Caenorhabditis elegans: one gene and its partner. The protein of the gene in region 2 interacts with the protein of the main gene of each other region in a pairwise test. Each region holds a gene or a part of one and is shown on either strand. Other genes may lie near its edges.

What was found.
Region 1: the proteins of ZC455.1 (region 2) and F14H3.12 interact in a two-hybrid assay, tested with the Caenorhabditis elegans proteins (one large-scale study listed by BioGRID).

What each region holds. Positions count from the first base shown.
Region 1 is NC_003283.11:16,073,539-16,077,171, reverse strand, and holds F14H3.12 (non-specific serine/threonine protein kinase), read left to right. Parts: upstream 1-1,848; 5' UTR 1,849-1,868; coding exon 1,869-2,065; intron 2,066-2,735; coding exon 2,736-2,853; intron 2,854-2,897; coding exon 2,898-3,011; 3' UTR 3,012-3,055; downstream 3,056-3,633. Other genes in the region: srj-29 (Serpentine Receptor, class J), read right to left, coding at 1-343, 384-500, 546-633, 680-786, 1,126-1,185, 1,226-1,513; srj-10 (Serpentine Receptor, class J), read left to right, coding at 3,216-3,464, 3,512-3,612.
Region 2 is NC_003283.11:12,771,750-12,776,843, reverse strand, and holds the start of ZC455.1 (LIM domain protein), read right to left. Parts: upstream 3,323-5,094; coding exon 3,264-3,322; intron 3,037-3,263; exon of another isoform or gene 3,035-3,036; coding exon 2,921-3,034; intron 2,848-2,920; exon of another isoform or gene 2,716-2,847; intron 1,474-2,715; exon of another isoform or gene 1,468-1,473; coding exon 1,341-1,467; intron 780-1,340; coding exon 613-779; intron 1-612.

The DNA of each region.
Region 1 (3,633 bases), 3.3 Mb from region 2:
AGAAAAATAATGAAAGCGGGTCCAGAACTGGAAAAAATGACAGAGCCACCGACAAAGCCCAATGTATCCCATTTCCAATATCAATGCCAAAAACTGGAAGATACCAACTAATTAAGCATGGAGTAAAGCATACAAGAATTGGAATAGTTGATTGAGTGATCAGAGCTTTTATCAATTGTTTCTGCAGACGTTTTGTAGTGTTGCTCATTGACAAATTTTCACTTTTCAGTTTTGTAATGATTAAAATACTGAAAATTGAATTTATCACCAGAGAAATTACGGATAACGTAGTTAATATCAGTATTGCACTCCAAGACTTCCACAAAACAGCTGGACTAGTCTCCTGAAAAAAAGTAATATCAGACACCTTCCAATTGGCTTACATGGTAAATCACAATAAAAATATTCAAATCATCGACATTTTGGTTAAACTCTTCCAGGAAAATATTTTGCATATATGTCAACCGCTCAGTATCAGCCACCATCCAGAAGTAGGCCATCTAAAAAAACTCATAAAATGTTGAATTTAACCTTTAATTTTTAACCGTAAATGTAAAACCTATGATAGTTAGGCAATAGGAAACTGAACATATTATACCATAAGGAATGAAACATGAAGAGAGAAAGGTGCTCCTGAAAATGATATTTGCAATACTGACCTTGAAAAGTTAATAGATACCTGAAAAGCACCATATACCGATACAAAAAATGTGCATGTAAAATTGGATATGTAGCGAATATGAAGCTACCTCTAAGGCATAAAGCAATTGTTCTAAATAATGATTTCTGAAAAAAATGTGGCTGCTCAGTGTTCAAAGTTCGGTTAACGCCAAATTTTTTTAACATAAATAATAGCGGCCGATATCTCATGGGACCTCAAGAAGTAGCAACGTGTTATAAACAGCTGACAACTTGCTTCAAAAAGTTCGCAAAGAGGGCCAGAAAATTGTAGAAGTTTGCAGCGCACATGTTACACTGCTCTCATAAAATTCATATTTTGAACTGATTTTAGAACATTCACAAGAGTAATTTTACTTTGGGCCTTCTTGTAAAAAACTATTTTTCACAAAAACAGACATTTTCAAATTTCAATGAGCCCGCAAAACGTCGGCTGCTAAGCCCTACCTTTTCGAAAATTCCATCCGTAATAAAATATGAAAATGCATATTTATAGTCCAAAGAAGACTGAAATAACAAGTTAGGACCGCAAAACCGAATTCCTTACCATTGGCATGAACACATCGATTGTCGAATTTAAAATGTTATAAATTGAGAAAAATATTAATAAAATTCTATAATTACCCAGATGAGTTTTTCTCTCATCATGAGCAATATAGATGCTCAGTAGATTGATGACAAAAGAGCAAGAGCCACTTATTTTAGGGGCATAATGGTGAATCCAGTTTATTCGCATTTTCCAAAACTTAAAGAACGAAAGAGAGTTATTCAAAATATTGTAAATATTATTTTTGTCAGCAAATGTGTGATCACAGAGCAGACGGTGTCCACGCATGAGGAACTATTCTATGAAGAAAGTTTGTTTAGTTTGATCAGATGATCCTGCTACATTTTCGAAACAACGTCATAAAGAATTCATTTTTTGAGCAAAGCAGCTTCCAATTTACTATTAGTTTTTTCTATCAACTAGTGAATCACGTGCCACAAAAAATAAATTTCGCCACTTCCACTTATCAATAATGTTCATATTTTTTGTGTGCTATCTTGGAAATGAACTTCAATTTTTATTTGTTCTGGCGTTGCTAATCTCTGTTTAGAGAAAATTGATTGACCCTTTTCACTCTTTTTTTCCGGGTGATGAATGTATGATGTTTTATTAAATTTGGAAATATGTTTAATTTCAGTGAAAAATGATGGAACCAGTTGAAGAGTGCGATGAAAATGTTGGAGCATTCCAATGGCAGCAAGCGTCAGAGACTTTGACTGCAATTCGTCAGCGGTTTGGGTTTGCGCTGGAGACTGCTGATCAGGAAGATCAGGCGCGAGCAGTGAGGTTTACTTGGAGTCTGAAGAAAACGTCGATGTTGGAACCGGATGAAATTTTAAAGTAAGGAAACTACGTACCTGCCTACGGATATTTTTTTCGAAATCTGTTATCACACGCGCTCTTAAAGGTGGGGTACCGAAATTTGAGACTTTGCTTTTTTAGACCCAAAATGGTCCAAAACTACCGAATTTCGTAATGAGACGTTGCGAAAATTTTTCAAAAAAAAGTTATGGCTTCTCAAAGTTTTGGAAAAAACGGTCTATTTTTAGCTAAAATCTCAAATTTTGGCAACTTATCGGTGTCGCAGCGGTTGGAAATTAATTTTTATTTGATTATCATCCTTTAAAGCATGCTATTACGTGTTATTTCGTTGATTGAGATATTTTTTGGCCAATGGGGACGCAAATATGACACAATTCTCCGTCCCCATCGGCCCAAAAAGCGTCTCAATAAACGAAACAACACGTAATAAAATGCCAAAACATGCTTTGAAGGATGATAATCAAAAAAAATTAAGTTCCAACCGCTGCGACAGCGATAAGTTGCCAAAATTTGAGATTTTAGCTAAAAATAGGCCGTTTTCTCCAAAATTTTGAGAGGCCATAACTTTTTTTAAAAAAATTTTCAGAACTTCTCATTACGAAATTCGGTAGTTTTGGACTATTTTGGGTCTAAAAACGCAAAGTCTCAAATTTCGGTACCCCACGGTACGTTGTAAAATATGTTTCAGAGAAATTCAAAAAGTTCTTGAAAGCTATGGCATTGATTATGAACAACAAAAACGATACCTTCTTCGGTGCAGTCATGTGGATCCTCTCACTGATGCTTCAGTAAAGTGGGATATCGAGGTCAAAATAACTGTTTTTTTGTTACCAAAACCTAGTTCTTTCAGGTCTGCACACTACCACGCTTGTATTTGAATGGAGTTCATTTTCAACGAATTTCGGGAAGCTCGAGCGACTTCAAGAACATTACTACGAAAATATCGGAAGAGCTTGATATTTAATTCTTAGTTTTTCTCATACGTCCCTTGAATAAATTAAATACTTTTTCCGAACTAGATACTTTTGCTTTTGGCGCTCAAAAAACGTGCAAAAATAAGGAGTCACTCATACCTAAAGTGCTCGTTAGTCTTCGTTTATTCAGTGGCAACATTCAACAGCGATTTCCTTCTAAACCTATCATAAAAATTGGCATACTTGTTTCGTTGATGTACATCCACTGGACCCACTACTATCTTCCAAAAGTTTTTGGGGTACTATCCTTCATTCTGAATCCATTTTTCATCTGGCTAATACTCAATGAAAACATTACTGCTCTGGGAAGTTATCGATACCTGTTGGTCACCTTTGCCAGCTTTGATATAATTTATACATTGGTGGAGTTAGCTGTACCTATGTCTATTTTTGGGACAGGGGCTGCTTTTGCAGTTTTTGTATCCGGTGGGCCTTTTTATGGGGCACGTTTAGACTGAAACATTTGGTTCAAAAGATACTTATTTTCCAGACAGGAAAACTTGGACAATTTGCTCTCTCCGTCCGATGTGGATTCATTTCTCTCTCATACGGAATCCTAGTTATTCATTTTGTCTATCGATACTCTGTATTGTTTTAATAGGTTTTTCATAT
Region 2 (5,094 bases):
ATAGCAAAATATGTGAGTTTTGAATAAAAATTAAACTTTGGCTGCTGTGAGACGGAAAAGTAGTCAAGTTTGGTGACTTTAGTTTAAAAAAATGTCTAAATCTACTTCTCCTTTAACTAACTTTTTGAAATTTTTCGAACTGGAAGTCTGGCACACAACAACCTTCTGTGTAAAGTGAGAAACTCGAAAAAAGCTCTAGAAAAACAGATGACGCGAATATAGATTTTAAATTAAGCCTACGCTTTAAAAGTCTCCGCAAAGTAGGGGGCCCTATGTGGAATGCATATTTTAAGAATTATCATATGGTCTCGAGACATGTTCTAGCGCGGGATCTAAAATTAAAATCTATGAATATCTGAAAGTATCAATTATCTGAAAACATTCTTCCTCTATATTTGTGGACCACTTGACATTCACCCTCAATTCAAGTGATCATCGGCATCCCACGCTTGTCTTTGTTTATACGCGTGTTTTCTGTACTTGCTCCGTTTCTTTCATCTCTCCTCTTTTACACTGTATATCTTTCAAAAAATGTCATTCGTACAAAACACAGTGTTCCACATCGTTTACGCTTATCCTCTCGGAAATATCTTTCTTCGTAGTTTGACTCACCCCAGATCAAGCAAACCGACACTTCGTGGACGTTCTCTTCGTTTACTGCGTATCTTCTTCGAGATGTTCGAGTCAGATCCTTCTTGACGCTGAAGAAGAGGTGGCAGTGCTAATCGGGGCTCTGGTCGAAGAACAACGTGAGGAGTTTGATGATATTGTTTTGAATCCTAAACGGTTTTTATTGATGATCAAGACACGAAAGATCAATTGAAGAGGCTTTTAAAGAGGTTTTGGTCGGTGTGTATAAGAGAATAGGTTAGCTTTAGAAGTTCCGAACATTCTTTGAATTTATTGTTTAGTTGTTTAGCTGATCTGTGTACAAACCTATTTCTGCGAAAAAAAAGTGTTTTTAAATTTAATGGGGATTTACAATCTTACGTTTCTAAAAATTTTGTATATTTATTTTGGAATCAAAATTACGATTTTAATTAGACAAATTTAGGAATCTAAGTCAATTTATAAAATTTCAGTATGCCTTTCGGAGGCTTCAAAAAATTTTTGTTATCATATCGAAATAATAAACCTAAAAAATAAATAAATAATTAGAAAAATAATTTAGGAAATTATTAAAGATTACTTTCATTTATTTAAAATCAAAACAAAAATTTGCCAGACTATGAATCAATTTAAAAATCTTTCGTCTGAAAATTTGCACTAACTTCAGTTTAAAACCTGGTACACAATATGGTTTTCAACTTTAACTAAATAATTAAATTAGTTAAATATACCTGCGATGTCAATGAAGATGGCCTGGCATATGGACTAAATGCCGAATGCTCGGACATTGGAAGACCACTGTTATTACTGTTATTGTTGATTATTGTGGTAGTTGCACTTCGAGGAGTGTTTGACATCCTGAACAAATACATTAATTCAAAGATATCAAATTTCATATTCACACATTTTCACAAAATACATCTGAACTGTTTCTTCTACAATCCCTTTCAACAGGAGTTGAATATAAGGTAGGAATACGAGTAGAAGAAAACAAAAAAATAACAGTAATCAACAAGAAGCCGAACAAGCAATGAGCAAAGGCAAGCCGCTGAGGAGCAAATGAATAGAAGAAAGTTCACAAAAAACTGGATGCTTGACACAAAGCTTTCCACACAGAGAATGAACGATCTTCTCGTCTCGGAAAGGCATTTCTCTGCGTTTCTAACTACAGAACAATATTATTTTTGAAAAAAAGTCTCCTTGTAAGGAATAGGTACTGGTTTTTGATGCGCATTTTATGTTAGAAGTGAATGGAAAATGTGTCAAAATCTTGACATAAGTAACTACATAATATCCATGCAAAGAGGAATTTGAAAAAAAACTTGAAACTCAGAGATTTTGTCTTAAAACAGAAATAAAAGTAAATGTCAGCTTACGCTATTTTTGAATAGTGCTGTAAACTTTTGAAGCTCTTCAAATCAGGTTACTGAATTTTCAGTCGAAATTGCAAATAATTTTTTTTGTTTGTTTTCTATATTTTCTACAGATTTCTAAGTTTCATTTGATAAGTTTCCAAAATTCTCTGGGAAAAAACGAAAAATATTTAACTTACATATTCTTATTCTATTCATTACTAAGTTTGTCTCGGCAAATTTCCACATCCAACAATTTTTTGAAGAAAATTCCCGAAACTATTGATATTTTTCTTTAAAAAAAACTAAGAAAATAAAATTAAATTGCGCTTATCCTAAATTTCAAACAAAATAACGTACTAAATTTTTGGTTTCTTGTGTTATTTTGTGTTCGTTCAAATGTTTCTAAGTCGGTTTTTATATCAATTTTCAGAATTCGCAGTGCTTGGAAATCCATCGAAAAAGAAGATTTATCAAATTTTCTGAACGACCAAAATTGACACTATTGTAGATACAAATTTTCTAAAAACGATTAATTTTATAAAAAAAATGTTACCCAGGTATATGTATTTTAAAATACTCTTTTGATTTTTAACTTTCTTTGAAAAAAATGAACAAAAAATAAAATTCAAAAGCTCTACTCATAACCGCAATCAAATTGCTTCACGTCATGCTTGATAGAGGACACAAAAGCGGAAATGATAAAGTCATAATGTGTGGAGAATCTGGCAAGAGCACTAGACTGCGCAATCCGTATCACAATTGGATCGGATATCACGTCAAACCAAGGCAAATCAAACGTTCTCTCATTTCCGGCGTCTCTCGATTTTGCGAAATATCCATTTCTCGATCTTTATTATTAAATAGGAGAAAGTTCTCGAGCAAACGAGACAGGTAAATAGAGATAAAAAGACAAGATTATCATTTTCAATTAACGGCTATACATTGCTTGAACATACCTGCTAAAACTACTATTATTGTTGCTGAATGACGTGGCGATTGGTGGGAGATTTGAAAATATTCGTTCCGGTGCCACGTAGATGGCCGCTGGCTCGTGAGCAGATATATCGCATCTGAAATATTTTCAAGTGATTCTCTTACTATAATTCGATTGTTTTTTTTTCAAATTCAAAAATTCGTAACATGGAGCTTTTGAGAATTTGTTTAATATTTTCAATTTAGAATTTAATATTACTTTCTAAAAAACCTCCGAATCTACATATAAGTTTACAAATCTTATTGAAATGCTTTATTGTATTCTGTCTTCTAGTGTTAGTACAATTAGTTTCTTAATCTTCTTACCTACAAACGGAGCATCTCCTTGAGCCACGAACTTCTGCCACAAACAGGGAACATGACATTGTGGATTAGATGTTTTCTTGTCACTTCTTCTACTTATTTCTTGTATTTGTACTTCAACTTCTTGTACTTTTGTGTTTGTTGTGACCTATTTTGACTAGAGTCTAGAGACAATAAATACAGAAAATATTCTAGAATAGAAAAAGAAGAAAAAGAGAAAGCATGACTGGAAGTGGACGAGAGAGAATGATGTATTATCAATACGTGAAAGAGCTTGGGTTGGAGCACTTGAGACTCCTTTCCGCGCGGAAACAAAAAAACTTAGAGGTATTAGATCAAGAGCCATGAGCACAGAAGGCAGAGCAAAAGAGCAAGAGTCGCAGATGATTGTTCAAAATCAAAATCAGCAGAAACAGTAACACAAAAACCATAAATGAAACAAGCATTTGTCCATGGCATGTTTATGAGCACGGACACAAAACCGCGTCAGAGTTAGCCACAGATTTGCACCGGAGAGAAAGGCCAGCATGAAAGGTAATCTGTCGGGTAAATAGTGTGATTCTCTCGTTTTCATGTGTTGGCAGAACAAAATGAGCATGTTTAGCAGAGGGAAAAGGGCAAATTTTATTGAATGAAATTTCAGATCATATTCTAAGCCGGAATATTTAACATTTTAATGAACTGCCATTTGTGAGGATTTTACTTCAGAAACATTTCCACTAGGACTGGAGTTGTCCTGAATAACTTTTCCCAATGCCAATAATCAAAACTGCATCCCTAAATTTAGATAGTTTAAAATATGAAGATATTTCAAAAAGAAACATGCAGAAAATTTATTATCAAAGCAAAAATTATTGATCGCCACAGTTTAACACATATTAAGTATAAACTTTGAAAACCAGGCAGTGTTAAAATATATAAATTCTTTAAACTGTTGAAAAAGTTATATTGGATAGATTCACAGAGTTAAATTGAAAATTGGCCAAGAAAGAAGATACCACTGTTTTGAGAAACGTGATAAAGTCAAAAAAAGGTAAAAATTAGATTGGGAAGAACGCTCAAAATTACACAGTTAAAACCATTTTCATTATTTTAGTAAACTTTTAATTCTACAGAAACTTTTGCGAAATATTTCCAAAATATCTCAGTCGCTAATGCATCTTATATGATCTTCCCATTATCCCTAAACGATTCGTTTTTGGTCTCACTGAAGTTGTAAACAACACTCAAGTACCAAAGAAAGTGAGTCACAAGGTTGAGTATATAATGATCTGTTTTTGTAATTATGACCATACCCTAATTAAAAAAAACATTTTCTCAACAGTTTCTAAATGATAGTGTTCAAATTAAAAGTGGTGAATATCTAACTACTAAACATTACAAAACTTTTGAATTTTTTTAAATTTACAGTCAAAAAGTGGAAATTTCTCACGGTAACTATCATTTTGGAACTCAACCAAAAATTTTAAATTAATCGATCATTATAGAGTCTCAAACCAGCAGCGATTCTCAAAATTGCTAAAGAAGTCCAATTTTTCAAAATCTTGGTACTTTTCCAAAACTGACTGAAAGTTTGAATTTTTTTGAAATGGAGCGTTGAAAATTTGGTCAAATTGGATTATATGAATTAAAAGAGTTTTAAAACAAAATCCCTTTTTACCATAAAAGTGAGGAACAAAAATCTAATTTTCCAAGAATTTTAGAGTGACTAAATGATAATAAAAATGAAAAAATAGGTAATCGATAGTTAAGTGAGAAATTGCGCGGTTTCTCTGGTTATCATTGTGGTAAAGTTCTCCTTACTTTTCATCTCTAGAGCTCTCGGCGTCTCACA